7 linked regions of the Rattus norvegicus genome follow. The protein of the gene in region 2 purifies or fractionates together with the protein of the main gene of each other region. This does not show direct contact. Links are inferred from orthologs where the notes say so. Each region holds a gene or a part of one and is shown on either strand. Other genes may lie near its edges. The genes, in order: Ikbkb, Hsp90ab1, Chuk, Mcm5, Erbb2, Cdk4 and Ppp5c.

Region 1 (4,191 bases), on a different chromosome or scaffold from region 2:
GGCTTGGGTCGATTGTGAAGAGCTAAAGAGTACCTACAGAGTAACTGGCTATGGTTTAGGACATGTCCTAAACTCTAGCTCCAACCAGAAGAAGCCACGGCAGGGCATATCGTCCGGATAGGAATAGATGCATGTGTTAACGGCATAGCCTCTTTTGATAGATTACCTAATTCCCTTGTGCTTCTGATTCCTCGGTTATAACACAGGAATTAGAGGTGCCAACACCAGAAGTAAAGCATGTAAGTAAGGTAAGGTAAAACAGACCCAGCAGGTAAGAAACCTACCCCGACCTTGACATGTAAGAGGTTTGCAGCAATGACCCTGGTTCTTGGGCCACATTTCTGACTAGGGCTCTTTCAGGCAATTTCTCTGTGATAGCTACAGACTATTCCCTTGCCTGTAGACAAGGGAAAGCCTATGAGGTAGCACGAAGATGCCTGATGCCATCTCGGCTGCATGCGCCTAGAGGCTGGGGACAGAGGCGCGTCCCACAGAAGGCATGCTGCGTCTTCCGATCTTAGGTGTGGGTTAAAGATTGCTTCTATGCACCCAAAGCAGCCCCGAGGCTACCCCAAGATCCGTCCATGAAGACAGCAGAGGACTTCCAGGTCTAAGCAGGCATGTTCCCCAGCCAGCACCACTTCAGCCAGACTCCTCCTGAACTCTAACCCCTACCCCCTCTATCCACCCAAGTCCTGTTTATTTTAACCCCTAAACCTCTTCAGTCTGCCTATTGCTCCCCATCATCACCACCACCAACCAAGCTAGTCTCTCACCTTGACCGCTTAATTTTGAGTCAAGACCTTGGTTTTAGCTGTTTAGGAAGGATTCCCTAGAAGGGTGGCCTCTTGTTTTGGTAAGTTTCCCAAGGGTTGCCCAACACCGGAATCCTAAAATGTAAAAATAGGCCTCTGGAGAGAGAGCACTTCCCCAGGTCTCTCAGGAGGTTGGGTAACTGGCCTGGCAGAAATGAAGACATTCTAAAGAGGTAGTTTTAAACATTGGATGCCAGAGAGATGGGAAATTCCCCAGAAATTTCATGGTGGGAGAGAGGAAAAACTACCAGCCAGAGGGGGAATTTGTCTTCTGGGCCACAGAGCTTGAACACACTCTCAGAAAATCTCACAGGATGACAAAAAAAAAAAAAAAAAAAAAGGACCTGTGGTAGGCTGGACCAGACTGCTTACATGTGCATATCCTTGGCGTTCTATTTGAACTTTAATCTAATGTTAGGATCATGGAGATGGATGTGGGAGGTTTGCTGGATCTGTCTGTCCCTCTTCCCAATGTGACCTCGCCGTGAATGAATCCCTTGTTTTCCACTATTTTAATTGACTTACTGAGGACCCAGCATAGGGCACAGGCTGTGACCCCCAAGTGTGACAATTACACTCACGTGCCCTGAGGTAAGTAAGTGTTCTCCAGCAGAGACATCACAAGCAACGTGTGCCTTTTAGGCATTATTACGAACCAATTACCCAAATTGGGTAAAACAATCTCATACAGTAAACAAGTGAGCTAAGAGAGTCCTGCCAAGAATCGCAGTGTACTTACCGACAGCCCAAACAAAAAAAAATTGGAAGACCAGAAACTTTTAACCTGAACAACTCATGCCAGACACTGAAGGGCTAAAATAATAGGAATAATAAGCAGATCCCAAAGCAAAATCAGTCCAAATCATTCCGCATTATAGGGGCTGCACATTCTCACCCATTAGCCTTAATCATACTAAGGGTGTTTTGTGCAGAACCATACTAGAAAGAAAGAAAGAAAGAAAGAAAGAAAGAAAGAAAGAAAGAAAGAAAGAAAGAAAGAAAGAAAGAGAGAAAGAAAGAGAGAGAGACAGAGAGAGAGACAGAGAGAGAGACAGAGAGAGAGAGAGAGAGAGAGAGAGAGAGAGAGAAAGGAAGGAAAAGAAAGGAAAAAAAGAAGAAAAAACCTTGGAGTTATTAACTACCTAAAAATACTTTAAATAGTTATTTAAAATGTTTTTATTTCTCTCATCTTTTAGCACTGCCTGTATTCTACAACATTTATCCCTATGTAATCTATCACGTGTTAGTCTAAATATTAGTAAATGTATAATTTTAAAATACTTGGAATGACAGCTTACTCCCCCCCCCCCGCCCTTCTAAGTATCAGGGTTATTAAGGTTTTTAAGACTCAGTTTAGCAGCTCACAGGTCCCCTTTGCAGTCCCTTTTCTTACACTCTCATTGGACCACGCCAAGGATAGGAGGGGATCCACCCATCCACACCAGGCCAGGACAGAAGAGGCGCCAAGACAGATCACCCGCCCTCCCCGGTGCCAGAGCCCTACCTGATTGTGCCACCGGATGACGTTTCCAAATCCCCCAGTTCCGAGGCGTTCTTTCATTTCCCAGGCCCCACATGTCTGGGTTGGGAGAGAAGGTGACCAGCTCATATCGATGCCCTCCCTGCTAACTCTAGAAGCAAGTAGGAAGAGAGGACAAGTTGAGAGTAAGAACACTGGAGCTCAAGAAGCAGGGGGAAGCAGCAGCGGCTGCTGCCTTCAAGGGGAGGCTGGGCTAGGAGACCGATTTAGTTAACAAATAAAAGTTGCTGCGGCCCGGCCCGCCGGCGGGTCCGCTCCGCACCGCACCGAGCGCGGTGCAGCCAGGGACCCCGGGGAGAAGCCGAGCGTGCACCCGGGCGAGCCGGTCCACCGGCCACGAGCCACCCTCGCGTGGGACTCACCTGCCCCGGGGGCCGCGGGGCCGCTAGCGACACCCGCTGAGGACATGAAAACTCGGGGTCCCCACGCAGCCAGCTCAGCGCCACTTCCTCAAACACTTCCTGCCCTGACGTCACGGGCACTTGACGGCTCTTAAAGGGGACGCGCGAGCCGCTCGCTGGGACTGAGCCACAGCCAGCCGTGGTGCTGGACCTGGCGGTGCAGGACCTGGCGGCTTGGAGAGTTCTTCACCCTGGCGCTTTTCTGACTGAGCTTGATCCCACTGGCTTAGGCAGTTAATCTGCTAAACCCCCACTAGGGCTGACTTAGGGACTGTCCTAAGAATTGCTTCCCTGTCCTCCCACCATTCGCCATTCGGAGCCCGAACGCTCCTGGTTCAGAAATAAGAATAAGAAACCACCCTTATGCTCCTCATAACACACCACCATCCCCCTCAAGGGGGGAGGGAGGAGAGGGAAGAGTACAAAGATAAAACAAAAGCTAGTGCTGTCTACCTAAACTGGAGTTTCAGCACTGGGAGCATAGGGAAATTACTTGTTATTAGGTCAAGAGCCTGGGTATTGCCACTCCACACCCCTACCAGCCCCCACCCCTGCCTCGAGCAAGCCAGGTTCAGCCACTCACCTTCCATAGCCTAATTCATGATACAAGTAGCGATGAAAGGCGGGTGAAGAAGTTTATTCAATGTGACTACATTGGGAAAAGACAAGAGATCCAATCACTCTCACCCGTACCTCTGCTAAGCCAAGTCCAATTTTGGGGTCCTGCCATGGGGTTTGGGTTTAAATGGAAGGGAAGAGGTATACATAACTAAGTATTTGTGCTCAAGGTATGTTCTGGTCCACCATCATTGATGAGGCTCCAGTCTCTCCTATGAGGTGGCATTTGTCAGAACCGTGTGAAAGCTCTGCCTGAGCCAGGCTCCTCTGCTGTTAGCACAAGGCTTCTGACATTGCTGGCTTTTTAGACAGCGGACAGCAACCAGCGAGGCCAACAGAGTCTTCCACGGATTGAATGATAAGTCCACGGTCTTTGTGGGATAACTAGGGAACTCTGAGAATTTGAACTCAGGAATAGAGCAAATAAAGCACTTCTCACTCTTTTATTGTTAAAGCGAGCAAAACACGAAGTGATGTTGACAGAGAGCTTTCGCAAATACAAGGACAACAAGGGAATACACTTGGTATTATGTCTTATCATCCTTGGACGTGTGAGGAAAAAAGCCAAGAATATTCCTCCCAGAACTTCGCCCCTCCCACAGAGATAACATGGACATACCCTTCGGTCCTCGCTTTCACCGCCATCCACTTTTTATAGGTTATGCAATTATTTCTAGAAGGCCACCTTGTGCGAAGAACATTCTGCACTCTGCCCTGACCACAGTTCTCAGGAAGGTCACAGCTTTCTTTCTTTTTTTTTTCTTTCTTTTTTTTCTTTTTTCTCAGAGCTGAGGACCGAACCCAGGGCCTTGCGCTT
Region 2 (3,978 bases):
TCTCTAGGTTCAAAGAGCTGCAGTAGGGAAGAGGGCTAGCTAGAAAAGCGAAACCAGCTTGAGAAACAGCTTGTGCTCGCAAAGGGAAGGCACATGTCCCCGCGCGCCTTGTACGTGGGCGACCCGGGAGGCTGAGGGTTGGGGAGTGTTCTACCCAGTAGCGTTCGGTTTCCCGTCTCTGTTCACAGAAAGGTGTCCGCAGTCACTCACCCCCACAGCCCCCGTGCCCTGTGACCGATCCAGGTCAGCCATCCCTCCCCCCTCTGCGCTCCACACCTCCACAGTAATGTGGGCCTTCCAGGGCCACGAGTCGTACAAACGTAGCCCATGGTACAGAGACTTGGGGAAAATATTTCCCCAGGTTAAGATCGTGGCAGAGAAAAAGAACCAGCCGAAAGGCGATGAAGACACAGCCCCCGCCGCAGCAGGGGAGGTGGAGCCTCGGGGGGAGGGGTTGAGACCGCCGAGACAGGCCTAGAAACTGCTGGAAGAAATCGAAGCACCGCCACTGCTGCTCCTTCCGCCACAGGCCGCCAAAGAGTCCCTGCTAGCCCAGGCCCGCGCCCCTCCCCTCGGAGAAGCTGCTCCCCGCCTGCCGCTTCGCTGTACCGGGGAGGGTGGGGATCAGGGACTCCTTAAAGTTGGACAACGAATTTCTTATCATCCTTTTCTCTCGATGTGCGATTTGTAGGGAACATTCTAGTAAGATCGGGTCTGAAAATGGCAGCCGAATTGGTCACCTCCGTTCTCTTTCAGAAGTCCCTTGAGGACTGGACTCTTGAGGGTGGGAGCGCCTACATCGAATTTTCTGCGCGAGTCCGTGGGGTATTCGCCGCAGATACATCCCCTAATAGCATATGCATGCTCCCTGGCCATCTTGAGGGCTACATGTCCTACTCATGCAGAAATGAGGGTACCAAACGCTATTGAATTGGCCTTGACTCGCAGCCCAGGCCCGGGGTCCCGCTCTTCCCCGCCCCCTCCCCGGTCTGCGAGCATGACGTCAAGGTGGGCGGGCGGTGGCAGGTGCGTGGCTGGCAGCCACTCCTTTAAGGCGGAGGGATCCAAGGGCGGGGCTAGGGCTGTGCTTCGCCTTATATAGGGCGGTCGGGGGCGTTTGGGAGCTCTCTTGAGTCACCCCCGCGCAGCCTAGGCTTGCCGTGCGAGTCGGACGTGGTCCGGGCCCACCCTGCTCTGTACTACTACTCGGCTTTCTCGTCAAGGTAAGGCCGCGCTCTCCTGTACTTGGCGGCTCCGTGGGTCTTCTTCCTGGGGTCTCCGCCAACATCTCATCTGAACTAAAGGCTCCTTGTTGGGCTGGGCGGTCTGCGGGGATAATGTGCCTAGAATGTCTCCAGTGGCTCATGGTGGACCCCGGCGGGCTTGCACCGCGAGGCTCCCCCGGGGCCGGTGGATTCCCCAGAGCGTGAGGTGGGGGTGCGGCCGGGCCAGGTGGTGGGCGGCCGCACGTGGTAGCCGCCGACCCGGGACGCTGCCATGTTTGCCCTCCACTTCCGGGCGCGGCTGCAGGGTCCATAGGGTCCGCGCGGTGGCGGGCTGCTATGTGCATGACTCAGCAAGACGAGGTTGGCCTGGCTACCTCCCCCGGACGCGTTTCCCAACGTGTTTTGTTCTGGGGAGGGGTACAAGGGTTGGCAGGAACGCTTGAACCCACTGCGTTTGTCCCTTTCCAGATCTTTCTGCTGCCCTCCCCGTGGAGTGGGAGGAGAAACGGGGAGGGAGCAGGTACGGGGAGATTCTTAGGTCCCTCCCTTACTCCTCCCCTCCCGGGAGCTCAGATTGTTCTGGAAGCCTCGGGCGCCCCGCCCCAGTGCCCGGATGCTGGGGCGGTGGGAGGGCTACAGTGGCGCCCCCTCCCCGTGAGTCTCCTGGCGACGCATGTCCGGGTCGCCGGACGGCTGGGCCACCATTTTACTTGTGTTTGGGCCTATGCAAGTCTGCACAGTTCAGCGTTCATGGTGGAGCTTTTTACCTCTTTGTCCTGATTTAATTGCCCTTTGAGTCCTTCCAGAACTATAGCTTCGGGTTTTCTTGCCCTGCCGAGGGGAAGAGCACAAATCCGTTTACGGGAGGCTGCTCTTTCTGTTAAAGTTGATACTTAACCCCAGTGAAGAATGAAGAAGAAATTGGGGATCTTATTGTATAGTTAACTCAGTCTGGATTTTTACTATATCGGCAGGTGTTCTGTTCTGAGTCAGGGAGCTGAACTCTTAATATGCCGTTCAAAAAGTCTGACATTTGGACATTAGTTTGAAGAGCCATCCTTTGGGTTTTTTTCCATTCTTGATTTGTCTTGCCACTGTAGCTTTAAGGTCTTTCTTTTATTTCTTTCTTTTTTTAAACAAATGGCGGTTCTAGTCTTGGGAATGGGTACTACCCAGATTAAAGAAGTTTGAACTGAACTTTTAATAAGACTTTCATTCTTAGATGCCTGAGGAAGTGCACCATGGAGAGGAAGAGGTGGAGACCTTCGCCTTTCAGGCAGAAATTGCCCAGCTGATGTCCCTCATCATCAACACTTTCTACTCAAACAAAGAGATTTTCCTCCGGGAGTTGATCTCTAATGCTTCTGATGTGAGTGTTCTGTTGAATTTCTAAGACGCCACAGAAGAGTGTGAGTGAGTGAGTGAGTGTGAGAGAGAGAGAGAGAGAGAGAGAAGCAGGGAGTGATTAGAGTAATCCAGCAGTTGATGAGAAGGAACTGTTTGGATAAATGGAATAAGTGGCTGTGTACGTGTACATTACAGGCCCTGGACAAGATTCGGTATGAGAGCCTGACTGACCCTTCCAAGTTGGACAGCGGGAAAGAGCTGAAGATTGACATCATCCCCAACCCTCAGGAACGCACGCTGACTTTGGTGGACACAGGCATTGGCATGACCAAGGCTGACCTCATAAATAACTTGGGAACCATTGCTAAGTCTGGTACAAAGGCGTTCATGGAGGCTCTCCAGGTGCGTGTGTGGCCTTCCACCCATGCCATTCTCAATTTGTTACTGCTTCTGGCTTGCTAATTTAAAACTTGTCAGACTAGGATGTGTGGTCTGTCTTTCTAATAAGTACTTGTGGCCTAGATTCTGGAAGTTGAACTGATTACTACACTTGCTCAGCAAGCGGTTGTGCTTGTACAAGAACAGTTTTGCTCACTCTCTTACAACCCTTTGCAGGCTGGTGCAGACATCTCCATGATTGGGCAGTTTGGTGTCGGCTTCTACTCTGCCTACCTGGTGGCAGAGAAAGTGGTTGTGATCACGAAGCACAACGATGATGAGCAGTATGCCTGGGAGTCTTCTGCTGGTGGATCCTTCACTGTCCGTGCAGACCACGGTGAGATGGCAGTCTACGTTGGGTTGGTAGAATTCTCTGGGGGAAAGCCAGAAAGAAGCAGCCTTAATAGTTACTGTACTCTATAAAAGTACATTTTTGAGGGGTGAATGGCAGCACTTGGGACATGGCATACACGGGTGGTGGGTGAGTTGAGGCAAGCCAGGGCTGTGCAGAAACAGATCGCTTGAGAAACCAGGAACAAAAAAGAGGTGTACCTGTTTGTTGAGTATTTTAGTTGCAGTTTTTCATGTCTGGTTCACTCTCTGTAGGTGAGCCCATTGGCCGGGGTACCAAAGTGATCCTTCACCTCAAAGAAGACCAGACAGAGTACTTAGAGGAGAGGAGGGTCAAGGAGGTGGTGAAGAAACACTCACAGTTCATAGGCTACCCCATCACCCTCTATCTGGAGAAGGAACGCGAGAAGGAGATCAGTGATGATGAGGCAGAGGAAGAGAAAGGGGAGAAGGAGGAGGAAGATAAGGAGGATGAGGAGAAGCCTAAGATTGAGGATGTGGGATCTGATGAGGAGGATGACAGCGGCAAAGATAAGAAAAAGAAAACAAAGAAGATCAAGGAGAAGTACATTGACCAGGAAGAGCTGAATAAGACGAAGCCCATCTGGACCAGAAA
Region 3 (3,500 bases), on a different chromosome or scaffold from region 2:
GGTCAATATTCCTAGTCCAGAGATGAGCAAGACAGATGCTTCTCTAAGGAGCCACTGTTCCATAGAGAAGGAAAAAAAAAAAATCTAACCACAAAACCACCATTCAGGGGATGGACAATTGGCCAGGCAGTTACAAGCACTGGTTGCTCTTGCAAAGAACTTGAGCTCAATTCCAATCACTTACACAATGGCCACAGCCATCTGTAATTCTAGACCCACGAACTCTGGTGCCTTCTTCTTGTGTCCTCCACAAGCACCATATGTGGTACACATATACAGAAAATAATAACAACAAGCACAACAATAATGTATCTAAAACAATAACAATAATAAGTCTAGAATTAAAAACCCTACAGTTTAATTCAGTGAAGACCACAATAGAAGAATTATAAAGTACTATGTGTATATAATTAATGAGAAAACTAAAGTCTCTAAAGTCTTAATGTACCAGGGAGACTATAACGAAAAGCATGAACATTCTTCAGGCTTCACCTACCTTCCCACCAACATCTTGAAGCACTATATTTTCAGGTTTTAGATCTCGATGTATAATTTTGTTTTCATGCAAATAACGAATCCCAGATCCTAAACAAAATTTCAAGTGTATTGTGAAATAACAGAAAATACTGTTTAAAAAATCATATCACACTTTGTTTTTATTGTTAGAGTTTTGAGACAGTTTCATGTGCCCTGTCTGGCCTGGAACCCCTATGCAGCCAAGGATTACTTCACTTCTAATTCCTAATCCTCTTGTTCTCCCTCCCAGTGCTGTGACTGCAGGCATGTTCCAGCACCCTCAGCTCTTTCCTTAGACAGGGTCTCACTATATAGCCCTGGCTGGCCTGCTGGTCTTGATCTCATGGAGATCCTTCTATCTCTGCCTCCCAGTGTTAGAATAAAAGCTGTGTGCCACCATGTCTAGCTACAGTCAGTTTTTAGCTCATATTTCTATAGATCTACACTGGTGCAAAAATTATGTCCAGAGCCATTATGGAGATGGCTCAGTGGATAAAAGTGAATGCCGTGAAAGCCCAAGGACCTGAGTTTAACCCTTGTCCCTCCCCCCAACACACACACACACACACACACACACACACACACACACACACACACACACACAAAGTCAAGTATGACTTTGTGTAACAATAACCCCAGCAGGGTTAAAAAGAGGAAAAGGCAAATCTCAGGAACTGGCTGGTCAGCCAGCCTAGTCGGAGCATGGAGCTTCTAGTTTAGTCAGAGACTCTGTCTCAAAACAATCAAGTTAAGGAAATGAGAACATCTGCCATCCTGCTGTTGCCTCCAGATGCATGCTGTGAGTGTGCACCAACAATCGCCCCCATGTACCACACACCACACCTCCCCACATTTACACGATCTATCACAGCTGCACCGCCATTAGGGTAGTTCAGATTTTCTTCACCAGAAGTTCAATGACATGAAATAAACACTGGAAAAATTATATTATATACTCTTTTAATTTATTGGAATCAACATTAAAAGCAAATGGAACGATTAATTTTTCCTGTAATTCTTATGGTCTTTTCCTCCCACCTAAATCACATTCTTTTTTTTTCCTTTTCTTTTTTTCGGAGCTGGGGACCGAACCCAGGGCTGAACCACTGAGCTAAATCCCCAACCCCCTAAATCACATTCTTAAACTAGATATTACTGTCCTTGACCCAGGAAAAGAAGCAACACTAAAACATAGAGGGAAATGAATTCTTGCTTTTTGAGGTTTCTTTAAAGGTCTAGTTTATGGTTATTTTAGGGATTTTTTTCAGTAGTAATTCTGACTAGAAGGAGAATTTCCTTCCAAGATAACTTGAGGAACTATCCCTGAAACATGTAATTCCTCTATAAACAAACTATTATGTCAGTGTGGGGGGAGGTATGAGGGGGAATGAGATGAATGTTGGTTCATACCACTTTTCTCATCACTGGACCATCTATTAGACAATAATACATAGCCAAAACCAAACAACAAACAAAACCCCCTCATATAAAAACAAATGCCAAATGTACTAGTTTTCATTAGCATCATAAGAAATGGATAATTCTAATTTTTCAGAGATATTAAAATCTATAAGTATATATATGTAGTTCTCCTTCCCTTCCAAGCAGTACACAGAAGTTTCTGTGGACCAAAGGGGCATTAAATCGCATGATACTTTAATATTAGTTACATACCTATGTCACTCAGTAAAGAAAGGATCTGGCTCTCTTTAAGTCCACAACAATTTTCTGGTTTGTTGAGTAGCTAAAGAGAAGAGAAGAAAAGAAAAGACATCTATTACTGCTGAGTGGCAACAGCGAAATCATCAACCACTATACCGTCAGAGGACACTCAAGTAAAAAAGTCACGCTACAGAAATTATAAGGATTGGGGCATAGTGGTGCATGTCTATAAGGCCAGCACATGGGAAGATGAGGCAGGACCCTGAGTTCAAGGCCAGCATGGGCTACATTGAAAGTCTGTTTTGCTACTTGTAACAATGACAAGAGATAGAAGGGTAAAAAAAAAATCATGAAATCCATACTGAGGTTGAATAAATTTGATGAGAAGGCTCATATGGAGTAAAGACGAGGGCAATAGCACTTGAAATTGAAAAATGCTGATAAAGAGATACATTTAAAATTAAATACAAAGAGTGATTATAATAAAAAGACAAGTTTTTAATAAGCCCCACAAATGTTGATATTTTTATTTAATATGACCAGCATGTTCTAGGCCAAGCATGGTGGCACATGCCTTTAATCCCAGCACTCAGGCAGAGGCAGACAGATCTCAAGACCAGCCTGGTCTAAAAAGTGAGTTTTAGGACAACCAGGGGTCCATAGTGAAATGCTGTGTCAAAAACAACAAGAACAAGAACAAGAACAACAACAACAACAACAACAAACAAAGAAACAAAAATAAAATTAAATTAAAAAAACCTAGAATGTATATAGCAATTAGTGGTTTTGGTTTTTTGTTTGTTTGTTTGTTCTTTTGTTTTGTTTTCTTGCCAACTTGGCGCGAGCTGGAGGAAAGCTCACTTGAGGCAATGCCGATCAGGCTGGCTAGTAGACAAGTCTGTGGGTCACTTTCTTGATTAGCAGTTGATGTTGCATGGCCCAGCCCACTGTGGGAAATGCCACCCCTAGACAGGCTGCAGTCCTAGATTATAACAGCAAGAAGGCTGAAGGAGTCATGAGGAACAAGCCAATAAGCAGTGCTCCTTCATGGTTGCCACTTTAGTTCCTGCCTTACTTTTCCTCAACGATGGGCTGGGATTGGTACATACAGAAACTTTAATTTTCCCAGGTTGCTTCTGTTGTTTCTATTGCTGTGGTCTTTATCACAGCAATAGAAAGCATTAAGACAAAGATTAACAAATATTTTCTGTATGGAGTCAAATATTAAGTACTTCAAGCTATGGAAGTCATAATTTCTGTTCCACTACTCAAATCTAGAACTGTTCATAAGCAGCCATAACATGCACAGAGCTGTGTTCCAA
Region 4 (3,500 bases), on a different chromosome or scaffold from region 2:
TGGACCCATATTTCATCATGCCTGACAAGTGCAAGTGTGTGGACTTCCAGACCCTGAAACTGCAGGAACTGCCTGATGCAGTCCCTCATGGTGAGATGCCCAGGCACATGCAGCTGTATTGTGACAGGTAAGTGTGCAGGGGCTGTGGGTTGGTGTGCACGCCACTCCATCTGGTGGCAGTGTAGGCTCAAGCCCTCGCTGTGTCTGGTGCATTATCTTATGTGTGAGCCACTGCCGCTGTCCTCACACATCAGAAGAGGGCATCGGACCCATTGCAGACGGCTGTAAGCCACCGTGTGGGTGCTGGGAATGGAACTCAGGACCTCTGGAGAGCAGTCAGTGCTCTTAGCCACCCAGCCCCGACTTTGTCATTTTTTGTTTCCCATAGTTTGCAAGGCATGTCCACTCCTACTTTATTTACATGGGTACTGTAAACTAAGGGAGGTCAGATGACTTTATGAGTAGAACTAAGGCCTGTGTGTCTTCCAGGACAGTCTCTATCCCTCCTAGTACAGAGCTGGATAACCAGAAGCAGTGCTAGCTCCTATCTAGTTTGGGCCTTTGTTGAATAGTCACAAAATGACCTAGATGAAGGCTTACGGATCCCTGAGTTTTTACCCTGGGCTCATATACCTGAGGATGAGTATCAGATGTAAAGCTTGCTGGGGAGTGGATCCACAGTTGTCAGCTTTATCATTGACAAAACTGTGCAGACTCAGCTTGGGGAAACTATATACTAAGTCCCAATTTTTTTTTCCTAGACAGAGTGCCTGAAAAGCCATTATCAAGAGTTTAACACAATTGAGTATATTGTATTAGAGTCTTCTCTTATGTATTCAGAGAACTGGGGGGTTGCATCGTGGAATGGGTAGGAAGTTAATAGGACAGTGTATGTAGCAAAAACAGTCCTCGGTGAGACTGATTTGATAGTATCTGTCCTCGCTGAGACTGATTTGATATACATAGAACACCTTTCAGTTTGTTGGTTACCTTGCTTGATTCCCAACAGCTGAGACAAGTCAGAGTCCTCTTTTCAAGCTCAGAGAGGCACAGTGACTTCTGAATTCACACAGCTACCTTATGGTCCTTTAAGCTATATTGATTCTGGGGAAACATGGAGACTTTAACTGCTTAACGTCTTATTGTTAAAGAGATGACTGAAAACTAGAGGCAGATTGACCGCGCTGAGCTCAGGGAGTATGGTGGAGGCAGAAAGGGAGGGAGGGTAGCGCTAGCACGTAGTCCGTAAGGGATTGAGGAGGAAGTTTGCCCTAGGGTGCCTGGTCACAGCTAAAATAAGCTAGGACTTCTGAAGGCTTGGCAAGGGCACCATGCCTCACCTCTGCCAGTACAGCACCTGACCTCTTGAGTTCAGTGAGAGTCAGGCCAACATCCTGACACTGTGCTAACTATGCAGGCTGACGTGTGTGGTAGCAGGAGCAGGGAAAGGTTCCGTTACTAACTCTTAAACCACACAGGGATTGAGCTGCCTTGATAGTGATACTTAGGGTAGAAGCACTGAGCTGACCACACCGTCCATCACCTTGAATCCCATTTGCTCATCTTTATCTTCCCTGCACTTTACCCAGGTACCTGTGTGACAAGGTTGTTCCTGGGAACAGGGTCACCATCATGGGCATTTATTCCATCAAGAAGTTTGGCATGAACCCCAGCAAGGGCCGGGACAGAGTGGGTGTGGGCATTCGGAGCTCCTATATCCGGGTGCTGGGCATCCAGGTAGACACAGATGGTTCTGGTGAGTTGCTTTGAATTCTACAAGCTGCTCACGTGATAACCTAGGCATTCTTGAATTGCTCAAACCGTTAGGATGTGCTGTGCTGTGTGTGTGTGTGTGTGTGTGTGTGTGTGTGTGTGTGTGTGTGTGTGTGTGTGTGTGTGCGTGTGCGCGCGCGCCACATTAGACAAATATTCTACCACTTAGCAGTATTCCCTATCCTAGGGTGTTCATTTTTACAGCAACAGTTTGTTGCCCTAAATTTTCTACTTACTGGTGTAGTTTGTAGCTGCTGCCCTAAGTTGTTGCCTGAATGCATGCTTGAGTTGCATGACTTGGTGTTATAGATGGGATGAGGTGTGTGTCCTGTGCTGCATCTTGGTGGGTGGAAAGGAAAAAGTGCATAAGTGTGAGCAGACAGGATCTAGTTGGAAAAGGAGCCCCTAAGGGACAGGTATCTGACATTGAACTGCTTTATTCCATTGAGCATTGTGGGAAGGAGTCGTCTATCAGGAGTGTGAGCAATGGCTTTGAAGGGTGTCGGTGTGAGGGAGGTCCTTTCAAGTATAAAGGAGAACTGGTGGGAACTCAGGGCGGGTGGGGGTGGGGGTGCAAGTGACAGGGTCGAGTGGTAGGGGTCAAGTAAAGAGCCTCAACTCTGAGATGGAGCAGAGATCTCATGCTTACATCCAGGGACAGCGGGAGCTGCCTTGAGGAATGGTCCCTACCTCTGGTCTAGAGTGATGGAGTTCTAGTACTGTGTCCATATTTCGTGTTGGTAGGAGCTAGCTCCCTTGGTTAAAACTGGAAAAGCTATGGGTTCATCTGGCCATATTCCAGACGTGGACTCTTCCTGACTTGCCATATCACTTCATGCATTTCCCATCTCTTGAAAGCGGCTCTTCTTTAGCCTTCCCTCCCCTTGCTTAGCAAATCCTCCAGATCCTCTTCAGTTCCCTATGTTGTTTTTTAAATCCCCTTACCCAGTAAGCAAGCTGCTTGGCTGCTCTACTTTTATGGCCACTTTTTTTTTTTTTAAAGATTTATTCATTTATTATATATAAGTACACTGTAGCTGTCTTCAGATACACCAGAAGAGGGCATCGGATCTCTTTACAGGTGGTTGTGGGCCACCATGTGGTTGCTGGGAATTGAACTCAGGACCTCTGGAAGAGCAGTCAGTGCTCTTAACCGCTGAGCCATCTATCTCTCCAGCCCTTATGGCCACTTCTTACCTCCCTGCTCTGAGTCCCACTATTGTCTCCTGGGTTGTTTTTTTAAAGCCCTCTGCCACTTGGTCCCACCCGCTTCACTTGGTCCCACCCTCTTCACTTGGTCCCACCCTCTTCACTTGGTCCCACCCGCTTCACTTGTCTCACCCTCTTCACTTGGTCCCACCCTCTTCACTTGGTCCCACCCTCTTCACTTGGTCCCACCCGCTTCACTTGTCTCACCCTCTTCACTTGGTCCCACCCGCTTCACCTGTCCCACCCTCTTCACTTGTCCCATCTCCTTTCCTCAGCAGCTCAAGCTGTTTTGATCGAGCAATTGCACTGACTATCTGTCTATGAGAGACTTTCCAGTGTCCTCAAGAGTATGTGATCTGGCCTTCTGTTTGGAACTTTTTTCCTCTCTGGCCCCTTGAGATTTGAAAGACTGATGCAGCCCCGTGCCCTAGCTTTCCTTTTCCTGAGGGACTGACTGTCCTGGTGCTGAGAGCGGTTGGTGTGTTGACGGCATGTCAGGGTGCTTCTGATCTAGGCTG
Region 5 (3,500 bases), on a different chromosome or scaffold from region 2:
ATAAGTTAAACCAGCCTCATATTATCGCACCCTTCTCGTAATACGCTCTAAAGAGGCTCCTGTCATGAAGACCCTCTCTTCTACTGAAGAGACTCACTCCCTCCACTCACGAGTGGGTGCAGTTGATGGGGCACGGCTGGCATATGCCCTCCTCATCCGGGTACTTCCAGATGGGCATGTAGGAGAGGTCCGGTTTCACACCACTGGGGCAGCGAGCCACACAGGAGGACGAGTCCTTGTAGTGGGCGCAGGCTGCACACTGATCAGCCTCCTGGACAGACAGGAAGGGTTTGTGAGGGTTTAGGGCTGCCATCCCTCTAGCAAAAGGACTGGGCCCTGTGTCCCCGAATCAGAAACACTGCCTCCCAGTTACTGGAGTAAACATCCCTGCTCTTTACAAGGAAGTGGAGGCACCCGGAGAGGGACGTGCATCCCCTAAGGTGTGACAAGTGACAGCCATTATGTACAAAGGTTTTATTTCATGCTTGGGCACTGCGCCAAATCCTATTTAATTCTGTTCTCACCACACCCCAACCAGGTAGGGACTATTACAACATTCACCTTATAGAAGGGAAAACTGAGGCTGGAAACATGGCCTGCATTTGGTCCTTAGCATAGCCACTGCCAAGGACACAGGCCTTCTTGGAACCTTGTCCCAGGCTGAAAGGGCTCCAGTGTCAACAGCAGGAAGAGGTAGCCCAGAGTCCACAGCACAATGTGAGCAGCCCCCAGTCCTCCAGTCCCCCAGTCCTCCAGTCCCCCAGTCCCCCAGTCCCCCAGTCGCCCAGTCCCCCAGTCGCCCAGTCCCCCAGTCGCCCAGTCCCCCAGTCCCCCAGTCCCCCGTCCCCCAGTCCCCCAGTCCCCCAGTCGCCCAGTCTTGGCCTCCCTGATCTTCCCTGCTCTGTCTCTCCAGGCCTGAGTGGAGTCCTTCTCTGGGAATATTTCACCCGGCAGCAACCTCCTGGTCCCTCAGCCTGCCCCTCCCTCAGCCCTGAGCCCACCAGCACCTCACCGATCCAAAGCAGGTCTCTGAGCTGTTTTGAGGCTGACACTCGGGGTGACACGGCAGACAGCGCTTGTCACTCACATACTCCCGGGGGAGCCTGAGAGAGAGGCGGGTGTAGTAAGGAGTTGGTCGGTGGGGGTTGCCCCCGAGTACCCCTCCAGCCACCCACTCCTCTGCAGCTCATACCCCTTCCATACTCGGCACTCCTCCACACACTCCTGGCCCCGAAGGAAATGACTGCAGTTGACACACTGGGTGGGCCCTGGCCCCCAGCAGTGCCCGTGGGCACACAGTGAGTTACAGACCAAGCCCTCGAGACCTGCAGCGAGGAGAAAAGCAGCAGACGGAGGTGTTTGGAGAGGCTCAGGTCTAAGGGAAAAGGCTATGAGCTTGTCTCCAGGCTGAAGGGTTAAGGACTGGTGCTGGGACATGCAGGTTCAAGAAAAAGGGAAGGGGTTGGGGGGATGTCTGGCAGCACAGACGACACAGCTGAAGCCATGCTCAAGACTAAGCCGTCCATAGGCAGGCAAAGAACAGGGCTGTAGCCCGGCCTGATGGTGCACACGCCTTTAATCCCGGCACTCGGGAAGTAAAAGCAGGTGGGTCTCTCTGAATTTGGAGGCCAGCCTGGTCTACAGAGTGAGTTCCAGGACAGCCAGGGCTACATAGTGAGATCCTGTCTCCAAACAACAACAGGGCTCGGACACGAGGTTTGCACCGGCCGCACCGGAGAGGCTGCTGACAGAGGCTCCTGATACTCCTCTGTACTGACCCTCAGTGCTAGGCTGCCTGTCTTACCACAATCCTCTTCCGGCCGGTTCCCACTGTGGAGCAGGGCCTGATGTGGGTTCCGGAAGAGCTGGTCCCAAGGTACAGTGTGTACAAAGCAGAGATGGGCGTTGCGGTGAATCAGAGCCAATCCACTGCCCAGCTCCCGCAGTGAGCGCAGCCCCAGCGAGTGGATCCCCAGGCCTTGCAGTGTCAATGAGTACGCGCCACTGTGGAAATGGGGTTTCCAATCTCAAGAAGGTACCTACTCTAGGCCCACTTCTGATCACCGAGGGGCCACAGGGTATGTAGCCATGCCTCCTAGGCTTCCTTTCCCTCCCACTTACTCGTGGAGAATCCGTCCCCGAATGATTCGAAGGTTCTGGAAGACACTGAGGTCACGGAGACTGTCTGGCCATGCTGAGATGTACAGGTAACCTGCAGGCCGAGGGGGGGATGGGTATGTAGAAAGGTCCAGAACTCCCAGCCCCCTCGGAGGAGGACAGACAGACAGCCCACCTGTGATCTCCTCCAGGGTTTCGAACACTTGGAGCTGCTCAGGCCTCAGCGGAGCAATGCCGGAGGAGGGGTCCCTAGAAGGATCCGGAGGAGTCAGCGGAGCCCCGAAAGGCCTTGGCGACCCCCTCTCCACCCTCACAGATGCCTTCACTCAAAGCCTATCAACTAGGCTGTTCCCATCCGAAGACTGAAGCCTAGGGTCAAAGTCTGGCGCAGTAATATTTGTGTCCTTTGGTCTAGAAGTCTTATTTGTGGTATATCCTGCATGGACACTGGCTTCACTTCCCAGAGGCATAAACAACCTGAACTGTTTGTAGGAACGACATCTGAACAGGGTGCTGTTAACATAAAACCCTGATCCCCGCAGATTCTAAAATACGAACACAGGGGGCGCTCAGCATCCGTCAGGCGCCTGTCCCAACTATTAACTTTCTATCTGACTCTAACCACCTTGAGCACAGAGCCATGCCGGTCCTCCCTTTACACGGGAGGCACTGAGGCGTAGGAAAGAGAGGAGGAGGCAATGAGGCTAAGCAGTAGGGCTCAGCCCCACGAGCCTGAGGACCTGCGTTCCATACCCCGGAACCACAGCATCCACAGCGGCAGGCAGATCTTCAAGTTTGAGGCCAGCCTGGTCTACTGAGTGAGTTCCAGGGCTACACAGAGAAACCCTGTCAGGAGGAGGAGGAAGTGGAGTAGGAGGAGGAAGTGGAGGAGGAGGAAGTGGAGTAGGAGGAGGAAGAAGTGGAGTAGGAGGAGGAAGTGGAGGAGGAGGAGGAAGTGGAGGAGGAAGAAGTGGAGTAGGAGGAGGAAGTGGAGGAGGAAGAAGTGGAGTAGGAGGAGGAAGTGGAGGAGGAAGAAGTGGAGTAGGAGGAGGAAGTGGAGTAGGAGGAGGAAGTGGAGTAGGAGGAGGAAGTGGAGGAGGAAGAAGTGGAGTAGGAGGAGGAAGTGGAGGAGGAAGAAGTGGAGTAGGAGGAGGAAGTGGAGGAGGAAGAAGTGGAGTAGGAGGAGGAAGTGGAGTAGGAGGAGGAAGTGCAGGAGGAAGAAGTAGAGGAAGAGGAAGAGGGAGAGGAGGAGGAAGAGGAAGAGGAAGAAGAAAGCAGCAGCAGCAGCTCATGTGTGATGCTGAGCTTGTGATCCCAGCACTAGAGATGTAAAATCAATTCCTCATGTTCCCTGGTCATGGCTGTAGCCTGTTTTAGTGAGC
Region 6 (4,060 bases), on a different chromosome or scaffold from region 2:
AATATAGCTCAGTGACTGAACCAATTCTTACTACATATAAAAACACTGACTCCAATCCTCGGCACCAAAAATAGGTCTAGATTTTAGCAATTCTTCACAGTTGGGAACATGGTCTTTTATCCTCATGCTCCTAATTGATGGGAGACAATAAAGGAGTTGGAGCCAACCAAATCGTCACACAGATCTACCTCTATCTGACTAGATTTCTGTAGGCAGACCATTTAGGAAACGCTGATCAGGGCAAGGGTACGTTCTAAGCAGGACTGGGGAAAAAAAGGAATGTGACCCCTATGAGGAGTCACAGGTTTGCAGAGGGACACAAGTCATATTCCAGCAATGTGGTGGTGACTGCCCTTGGATGTGCTCACCCTGTTGTCTGTTCATGCAATCACATATATATATAGCAATCTTAGTGTAAAGACACTTGTAAGATCAAGAACCCTTATTTCCAATAACTTCTTGCTGCTTTTAATATTCCTGGGGAGGTTTACAAGTTGGGAAGAAGGAGGGCATTACATTGTCGCCCCCCATACAGCGGCTTACTATGTTAATCTTCTTCTATCCATCTTTTAGTTTCCTCCTCGGATAGAAATTGTCTACTCCCTGTTTTTATAAGACCACGGTTGCCTTATTAGCTATCTTTATCATCACTTCAAAGGGCGGAGTGACTGAGACACCAAAACAAAAACATCGCATACCAACTGGAAGGAAGCACTTAGTAAAATTTTGTTGAATGAATGAGTAAAATGAAGACACAAATACGAATGTTTCCCCATGGCGGTGGAGTGGAAATGTTACAGCACCATCTCTGGCACCAGGATCTCCCACTAGCACCTCGACCTCCCGCCCACATAGAGACGCGTAGTGAGACTGAAGATGCTCTCAGGCTCGGCCTTGAGCTGAGCGTTGAGAGCTGGTTGGCCCGGTTGCCATGGCACCGCCTTGTGCCCCACCCTCTCTCGCCCCCACACACCCCCTCCGCAGTCAGGGTTTGGCAGCCGGTCACGTGCCACACAGCGTAACCACACCTCCGCTTCTCAGCGCAAAGTAAAGGGGTCACGTGGGATAGCAACAGGTCACGTGGCAGTACAGGTCCCGCCCTCTTCCCCCACCACACCCCTCCCATCAAAGGGGCCCCGGTCGCCGAGTGCGCATGGGTGGAGGTCACGTGTCCAGAACGTCCGCCGTCGGCCCCGCCTCCCGGGTTTCCGCGCGCCTCTCTGGCAGCTGGTCACATGGTGAGGGTGGGGGTGAGGGGGCCTCTCTAGCTCGCGGCCTGTGTCTATGGTCTGGCCCGAAGCGTCCAGCTGCCCGGGACCGATCCCCGGTGTATGGCGCCGCAGGAAACGGCTCCCGGGCCCAGATAAAGGGCCACCTCCGCAGCTCTTGGCCGAGCGTAAGGTGAGTGCAACCCTTTCCAGAAGCGGGGGGCCAGTCCCCACGAGCACTAGCACCCTCCAGCTCCCCACGCGTGCGCGTCGCTGGCTGAGTATGGAAGGTGGCCCAATGGCGGGAAGTGGGGCCTTTGTGGTCGTGGGCGAGGGTGTGATTTCAGAGAGTGAAGCGCAGACTGTTCCATGCAAGCCCTGTGCACTGTGATCTTCTTTGTGCCGGGCGCAATGGTCCTCCGAAAGAAAAGAAAGCATTCTTTTCTTCCTCCAGGACAAAACGTGGCTGGAAGAGGGTTTGTTGGAAGTCTTTGTGTTACCTAAGGAGCGCGGGCCCTGGATGTGTGGAGGGTGGGATGCTGGTGATAATGTTGGTGAGGTCTTGTGCAGGAGTTTCTTTGTTACTGCCGGGTCATCTCCTCCTAACTGTGAGAGAGAGCTTGGTATTAGAAGCCTCTGTGATTGTAGATCCCCTGCTCCGAGAATGGCTACCACTCGATATGAACCCGTGGCTGAAATTGGTGTCGGTGCCTATGGGACGGTGTACAAAGCCCGAGATCCCCACAGTGGCCACTTTGTGGCTCTCAAGAGTGTGAGAGTTCCTAATGGAGGAGCAGCTGGAGGGGGCCTTCCCGTCAGCACAGTTCGTGAGGTGGCCTTGTTAAGAAGGCTGGAGGCCTTTGAACATCCCAATGTTGTACGGTGAGAAGGTTGGATTGGGAGTGGGGCGGAGAGGACAATAGGACCCGTTAGTCAGGAGTGGGACCCTAGAACGCCAGAGGCCATGTTGAAACAAAGGGGATGGCCAGCTCCTGACCATTTGTTCTTCTCAGGCTGATGGATGTCTGTGCTACTTCCCGAACTGATCGGGACATCAAGGTCACCTTAGTGTTTGAGCATATAGACCAGGACCTACGGACATACCTGGACAAAGCACCTCCGCCGGGCTTGCCTGTTGAGACCATTAAGGTGAGTGGAGGGGTGGGTGGAGGTGGATTGATATGTGCAGTAGAACTTGTTGGGATTTTGGACACAGTGATACATAGTTTCCACAGTTCTCTGCTTCTTTCTTCAAAACCAGGATCTGATGCGCCAGTTTCTAAGCGGCCTAGATTTCCTTCATGCAAACTGCATTGTTCACCGGGACCTGAAGCCAGAGAACATTCTAGTGACAAGTAATGGGACAGTTAAGCTGGCCGACTTTGGCCTAGCCAGAATCTACAGCTACCAGATGGCCCTCACGCCTGTGGTCAGTAAGACAGTAGCCGGAATAGGTTGGGATTCGGGGTAGGGCTTGGTGGTTTCCCAAAGCGACTAAGGAGTCTTGTACTTGAAGTTTTCAGAGCCAAACAGTTGTTTACGAGGACAACACTCACTTATTTCTCCTATTCTCTTTAGGTTGTTACGCTCTGGTACCGGGCTCCTGAAGTTCTTCTGCAGTCTACATATGCAACGCCTGTGGATATGTGGAGTGTTGGCTGTATCTTCGCAGAGATGTTTCGCCGGAAGTATGGGACTAGAAACATTTGTTTTGTTTGCCATGGGACAGGGTTTTTCTGTGTAGCGCTGGCTACACAGAAACGAGATCAGGCAGGCCTTGAACTCTTGCCTCTGCCTCCAGAGTGCAGGAATTAAAGGCATGTACCACCACTGCCTGGCTGGGACTTGAAACTCTTAAGCCACCTTCAGTTCCACAGATCTTTTGCTGCTCTCTCACGGTGCTAGAGGTTGGAATCAGGACTCACGTACACTCAGCCATGCCTCTATTTCTTTTTCTTTTTCTTTTTCTTTTCTTTTTTTTTTTTTTTTTTTTTTTCAGAGCTGGGGACTGAACCCAGGGCCTTGCGCTTGCTAGGCAAGCGCTCTACCACTGAGCTAAATCCCCAACCCCTCAGCCATGCCTCTGTACCACTAAACTAAACACTCTGCCCCAGGTCTTTTACAGACTTATCTGTTCTTGACCATTCTTGTGCATGTACAGTGCAGGATACCCAACCTGGGGTTTCCATAGGCATGGTCCCCTGCCATCCAGCCATAGTCCCAGCCTACCCAGTTCATACCAATCACCTTGCCTAGAAAAGAAACCACATGGGCAAATCTGAAATGCCCTGGATTTAGTAACTTCCTGTTCCTTAGCTCCACACTCTAGTTTGGTCCACTTAACGGTTACTCCGGTTTTTAAAAGAATGTACTTTGACTATCTTTCTACCTTAGGCCTCTCTTCTGTGGGAACTCTGAGGCTGACCAGCTGGGCAAAATCTTTGAGTAAGTATCCACTAAGGAAAAGGAAAGGAACATTCCATAGCAACTGGCTGGGAAGGGGCCCCTCCTGACAGTTGTCCTGTCCCTACAGTCTCATTGGATTGCCTCCAGAAGACGACTGGCCTCGAGAGGTCTCTCTTCCTCGAGGAGCCTTTTCCCCCAGAGGACCTCGGCCAGTGCAGTCAGTGGTGCCGGAGATGGAGGAATCTGGAGCGCAGTTGCTGCTGGTACTGGGCCTGAGCAGGGATTGGGTTAAGACAAGACACGGCATGGCCTGGGAAGCTGGCTCAGTGGGTAGAGCTCCTTTGCATAAGTACTGAGGACCTGAGTTCAAATCCCCAGAATCCACGTAGAAGTCAGGTGCTTCTGTAGTGCCATTCTTGTGGCGAGATGGACAGATCCCCTGGTAA
Region 7 (4,225 bases), on a different chromosome or scaffold from region 2:
GACAGACATGGACACCAACATCTATTTCCAGAGTGATTGCTGGTTGTGCTGAGGGGTGGAGGAGGAGTGAGGCTGATACACAGCCTTAAAGCACTTGGTGTTAGCGTCTATCCAGAAGACTTAAAGACTCTAGAATAGGAAGATACATAGTGGGATCTGAAGATGTTACTGGAGGCTAGACTAGCCATGGCTTCTCAGAAAGAGTTTGGGTTTTCTCCTAAGGGAGTTGGGGAGCCATGGAAGGTTGGGGCGGGTGCCAGTCTTACAGTGTTCTAGCAAGATGTCTCTAACTGCCATATGGAAGGTAAAGTGGAGGAGGGAGGATGAAGCAAGCATCAGAGGAGGCTGAAGCTGCGATCCAGGCCAAGAAATGCAGCCAGCAACAGGAGCCTCACTTAAGAGATCCCCTTGGTGTGGTTGTTTGTGTTTGTAACAGGGTCTCAAGTATCCCAGTCTGGCCTTGAACTTGAAATTCTGATCCTTTTGCCTCCACCTATCAATCATTCAAATGACAGAGGTGCATCTTTCAGTCTGGTTTATATGGTGCTGGGGATGGGACTCAAGCCTGGAGCATGCTAGACAAGTACTCTATCAACTGAGCTACATCCATGACCCTCTAAAAGATTTTCCTAGGACTTCATAAGATGGTGCAAAGCTTTAAATCCCAACATTTGGGAGGCAAAGGCAGTTTGGGTTGCTGAGTTCAAGGCCAGCCGGGTCAATATAGGGAGTTCCAGGCTAGCCAGGGCTGCATAATGAAACCCTGTCTCAAAATAAAAAATAAAATAATAAAGATGCTGCTGGTCTCGGAACACGATACAACTGATACGTGCTCAAGGCTTGAAGATTGGGATGCCCTGTTAATAATTCATAAAGAGCTTTGACTTAAAACATTCAAGTTTTATTTTGTTTGCTTGAGAAACTACCCATTTTCCAGAAGGGTCACTGGGGTGACAGGAGATAGACTTGTTCAAGGTCACACGAGTAAATGGCAGCACCCAGCTCCAAAGCAAGCTCCCGGTTGGGCAGGGTGCTGACTTGAAAGCAGCCCCACCCGCCGGAGGCATCACAACCCAATCACCAACCCTAAATGAAGCCTGGATCTCCAAGACCCAAGAAACTTTTTTGCAGCCTCGCAAACTTTGGAAACAGGCGCCCTCCGGACCTGCCCCCACCCCCATGGCCCTCTCTCTCTCCTTTCTGATTGGCTACTTCTACGAGTGCCGTCTGGATACCCTCTGGTCACCTTGTCCTCCGGGCGCTCTGTGGAGGGTGGAGGGAGTGGGGGGGCCGCCGCGCAGGCGCGTCAGGAGTGCCTTTGGGGCCCGCGCTTTACGACACTTGTGCGGCAGCGGCGGCGGTCACTCGGCACTCCTTCGCGACGGTTCGGCCTGGTGCCGCGAGTGGCCGTTGCCAGGGTGGGGGTCGCTTTGCGGCATGGCGATGGCGGAGGGCGAGCGGACTGAGTGTGCTGAGCCCCCCCGGGACGAACCCCCGGCCGAAGGCACTCTGAAGCGGGCAGAGGAGCTCAAGACACAGGCCAACGACTACTTCAAAGGTGCGTCCGGCCCGGACCGGGGTAAGGGAGGGTGGACAGCGGCCCAGGCCGTGGGGGTGCCAGGCCCCGCGGGGAACCATGGCAACGCGGAGCGGCAGCCTGGGCGCCGGGCAGGCACTACTGAGTAGCCCGGCGCGAGGAGAAGGCCAAGGATGGACGGCAGACGGGGGGAGAGCTACTGAGAAGTGGAGTACCGAGCAGAAGCTACTCACTGGGGATACTGAGGCAGGCGCTGCTAAAGGATAGGGGACAAGCAGGGGGCCGACATGTGAGTGCTACCAAATGTGAGAGACCTGGACAGAGATGCTAAATGGTGGTCAGACCTGAAGAGGGCGCTACCAAATAGTGACATGTGTTTAGGGCAGTGATGGCGCTGCCGAGCGGGGAGGCCTGAGGGGAATATGACCAACTGAGGAGAGAAGGCCCAAACAGAGAAGTGAATTATGGGGATGGAAGTAGATAATTATATTGGAAGGCGATTTGGGGTGATCCAAGGAAAGGAGTAGGGTGTAGAGGTGGAGCAGGAACGAATAGGGTGATCTTGGGATAAGAGTGCGATGTGGGAGGACATGTCTCCATTCATTCATTCTTTCAGTACACTTGTATTAAATAAGAGTCATGTGCCACGGCCTGTGCTTGGCTCTGAGGCTGTAGCAATGAATGAAACGCATGACTCGGATTTAAGCAGAACCAATAATTGCTAACTTGTGATGATCACTTTGGCTCAAGGTGACAAAGTAGGGAATACAGCTTAGAATGTGCTTTAGGTGGTGAGGTCTGGAGTGCCTGGAGAAAGGCTTTTTAAGGAGAATTGGGAAGGAGTTTTAAACGTGGGTTTAAGGAGAATTGGGAAGGAGTTTTACACGAGCTTGCTTTTACCATGGATCTTGTGTACCCCGGGGTGGAGAATGAATGAAAACAAACTGGCTTAGTTGGAGCTTGAGCAAACTGGGGGTATGAGGGGAAGACTGATACAAGGTAAGATTGGCAAAGGGGCCAGAGCGTGCAAAATCTGTGAAGTCATTCTGAAGACTAGTTTTGTGTTTCCTCGGCTGTCCCAAAAAGGACATTGAGTAGGTAGGTAGGCCAGTCTGGGCTGGAGAAAATTTTGGGTGTATCCAGCCTTTGGTTGGAGGCGCCCTGGGAATGGATGAAGTCACCCAAGAGTGGGATCCAGAGAGAACCTAGAATGGAGTTTTCATGTTTACAGTGGAAAGGGGGCTGCTGAGGAGAAGTGACTGAGAAACCAGGAAAGGTGCCAAGGCTAAGAGAGCAAGGCTCTTCCAGAAAGAAAGCCATATGCCTGGTCACCTAGCCCCAGGCATTGTCCGTCAGAGGTTTTGCTCCCAGATGAATATGGTGATGATGTTGAGGATAGTTGTGGACGATAAAGAAGCTGCTAGCCCAGAAGACCCTGGCTGGCGAATGCAAGGGAGGAGTTGGAGACCAACAGGCACAAGTGTCTCAGTTCTGAAGGGGAATGGAGAATCGGGGCAGATGGCCAGAGGGAGTAGGTGGGGGTCCCTAGGGATGCTTTTTCAGATATGGCCCAAAAGAGAAACAGGCCCAGCTGTAACAGATCTGGTGGGGGAGGGTGAGAAGGATTTAGAGTCCTAGGGAAAGGTGGGACCTCCATGGGGATAAGCCCAGATGTAGTGATGCATGTCCGTTAACCCAGCTTTCGGGGGGGCTGAGGAGGATGGGGGTGACATAGCAAGGAGAGAGGGGAGGCCAGAGTTAGAGCCTCAGAGGGTCAAGTGGGTTCATAGGTGTCATCCTGAAGCCGGCAAGGAGCTGTGGAGGGTTTCCAGAGAGTGGTCCAGTTACTCTGGGTACAGATACTGGTCCTCCCTGCTGTTCAGAGATTGGATCCAAAGGCTGGATTGGAGAGAGGACCAGGGAAGGCAGTGAGGAGGTGGAGCCTTCCACCAGGCTGGCTGCCTGGAGATGGGGAGGGGAGCACGTGGCTAAGGCCCAAGGTGAGTGGGGCAGGAGTTCGAGGTAGTTAGGAGGGTTAGGATGGAACTACAGACAGAAGGTAATGGCAGGCTCCGGAGGAGACTTGAGCTATCAGTTGAGGCCCTGGAGAACTAAAGCTGGTCCAGATTCATGCCTTCTAAAAGACAGGGCAGGAAGCTGGGAGGCCAAGATACAGGCTACAGCAGAATAGGACTCTGCAGGGGAGGGCAGAGCTTAGGGCAGGGTGGGGCTGCTAGAAGGGAGGGAAGTTAATGGGTGTGAGAGATACTATCGGGACAGTAAGCCCAGCTTGCAGGGTTTGGAAGGTTGGAGGCTGCCAGCACCAGTTGACCAGGCCCAGCTATGTATTGGTTGGAAGGCACGGCCATCTTTCATTGGGTCCTGAAAAGATCAACCAAAAACTGGGCTACTGCTGCTGAGGACAAGTGGGGGATGGAGTTAGCTATCAGGAGGGACCCTTCACCCCCACCCCTACCTACCTTCCAGGTCCTAAGAGTCAGGCTCTCAGGAACCTAGGACTGGGCAGGCCGCCAGAGGGGCCTGGCCTGGAGCTGGCTTGAAGGAGCACCCTTCCGGATGCAGGCCTCCCACTACTGTGGGCAGGCAGTGGCAAGCACAGAACCCCAGGCTCAGACTATAAGGATACCAATAAAAAGAATAATTGCAGCTGGCTTTTATTGCACCCCT

What was found.
Region 1: the proteins of Hsp90ab1 (region 2) and Ikbkb purify together in Homo sapiens (affinity purification with western blotting; 3 studies listed by BioGRID and IntAct, with this or other methods). This does not show direct contact. The link is inferred for Rattus norvegicus from reciprocal best matches to the Homo sapiens genes HSP90AB1 and IKBKB.
Region 3: the proteins of Hsp90ab1 (region 2) and Chuk purify together in Homo sapiens (co-immunoprecipitation; 3 studies listed by BioGRID and IntAct, with this or other methods). This does not show direct contact. The link is inferred for Rattus norvegicus from reciprocal best matches to the Homo sapiens genes HSP90AB1 and CHUK.
Region 4: the proteins of Hsp90ab1 (region 2) and Mcm5 fractionate together in Homo sapiens (co-fractionation; 3 studies listed by BioGRID, with this or other methods). This does not show direct contact. The link is inferred for Rattus norvegicus from reciprocal best matches to the Homo sapiens genes HSP90AB1 and MCM5.
Region 5: the proteins of Hsp90ab1 (region 2) and Erbb2 purify together in Homo sapiens (co-immunoprecipitation; 5 studies listed by BioGRID and IntAct, with this or other methods). This does not show direct contact. The link is inferred for Rattus norvegicus from reciprocal best matches to the Homo sapiens genes HSP90AB1 and ERBB2.
Region 6: the proteins of Hsp90ab1 (region 2) and Cdk4 purify together in Homo sapiens (affinity purification with mass spectrometry; 5 studies listed by BioGRID and IntAct, counting the BioPlex papers as one, with this or other methods). This does not show direct contact. The link is inferred for Rattus norvegicus from reciprocal best matches to the Homo sapiens genes HSP90AB1 and CDK4.
Region 7: the proteins of Hsp90ab1 (region 2) and Ppp5c purify together in Homo sapiens (affinity purification with mass spectrometry; 6 studies listed by BioGRID and IntAct, with this or other methods). This does not show direct contact. The link is inferred for Rattus norvegicus from reciprocal best matches to the Homo sapiens genes HSP90AB1 and PPP5C.

Annotation. Positions count from the first base shown.
Region 1 is NC_086034.1:76,020,640-76,024,830, reverse strand, and holds the start of Ikbkb (inhibitor of nuclear factor kappa-B kinase subunit beta), read right to left. Parts: upstream 2,801-4,191; 5' UTR 2,718-2,800; intron 2,447-2,717; 5' UTR 2,425-2,446; coding exon 2,320-2,424; intron 1-2,319.
Region 2 is NC_086027.1:22,929,245-22,933,222, forward strand, and holds the start of Hsp90ab1 (heat shock protein HSP 90-beta), read left to right. Parts: upstream 1-1,178; 5' UTR 1,179-1,223; intron 1,224-2,448; coding exon 2,449-2,595; intron 2,596-2,768; coding exon 2,769-2,975; intron 2,976-3,188; coding exon 3,189-3,348; intron 3,349-3,617; coding exon 3,618-3,978. UniProt on the Homo sapiens protein: Molecular chaperone that promotes the maturation, structural maintenance and proper regulation of specific target proteins involved for instance in cell cycle control and signal transduction. Undergoes a functional cycle linked to its ATPase activity.
Region 3 is NC_086019.1:252,934,274-252,937,773, forward strand, and holds part of Chuk (inhibitor of nuclear factor kappa-B kinase subunit alpha), read right to left. Parts: intron 2,261-3,500; coding exon 2,191-2,260; intron 586-2,190; coding exon 497-585; intron 1-496.
Region 4 is NC_086037.1:13,495,313-13,498,812, forward strand, and holds part of Mcm5 (DNA replication licensing factor MCM5), read left to right. Parts: coding exon 1-127; intron 128-1,589; coding exon 1,590-1,756; intron 1,757-3,500. UniProt on the Homo sapiens protein: Acts as a component of the MCM2-7 complex (MCM complex) which is the replicative helicase essential for 'once per cell cycle' DNA replication initiation and elongation in eukaryotic cells.
Region 5 is NC_086028.1:83,921,101-83,924,600, reverse strand, and holds part of Erbb2 (receptor tyrosine-protein kinase erbB-2 precursor), read right to left. Parts: intron 2,368-3,500; coding exon 2,294-2,367; intron 2,213-2,293; coding exon 2,122-2,212; intron 2,005-2,121; coding exon 1,805-2,004; intron 1,326-1,804; coding exon 1,193-1,325; intron 1,104-1,192; coding exon 1,013-1,103; intron 272-1,012; coding exon 111-271; intron 1-110. UniProt on the Homo sapiens protein: Protein tyrosine kinase that is part of several cell surface receptor complexes, but that apparently needs a coreceptor for ligand binding. Essential component of a neuregulin-receptor complex, although neuregulins do not interact with it alone.
Region 6 is NC_086025.1:64,770,193-64,774,252, forward strand, and holds the start of Cdk4 (cyclin-dependent kinase 4), read left to right. Parts: upstream 1-1,260; 5' UTR 1,261-1,401; intron 1,402-1,856; 5' UTR 1,857-1,872; coding exon 1,873-2,090; intron 2,091-2,221; coding exon 2,222-2,357; intron 2,358-2,469; coding exon 2,470-2,637; intron 2,638-2,786; coding exon 2,787-2,896; intron 2,897-3,602; coding exon 3,603-3,653; intron 3,654-3,741; coding exon 3,742-3,877; intron 3,878-4,060.
Region 7 is NC_086019.1:86,839,706-86,843,930, reverse strand, and holds the start of Ppp5c (serine/threonine-protein phosphatase 5), read left to right. Parts: upstream 1-1,425; 5' UTR 1,426-1,437; coding exon 1,438-1,558; intron 1,559-4,225. UniProt on the Homo sapiens protein: Serine/threonine-protein phosphatase that dephosphorylates a myriad of proteins involved in different signaling pathways including the kinases CSNK1E, ASK1/MAP3K5, PRKDC and RAF1, the nuclear receptors NR3C1, PPARG, ESR1 and ESR2, SMAD proteins and TAU/MAPT.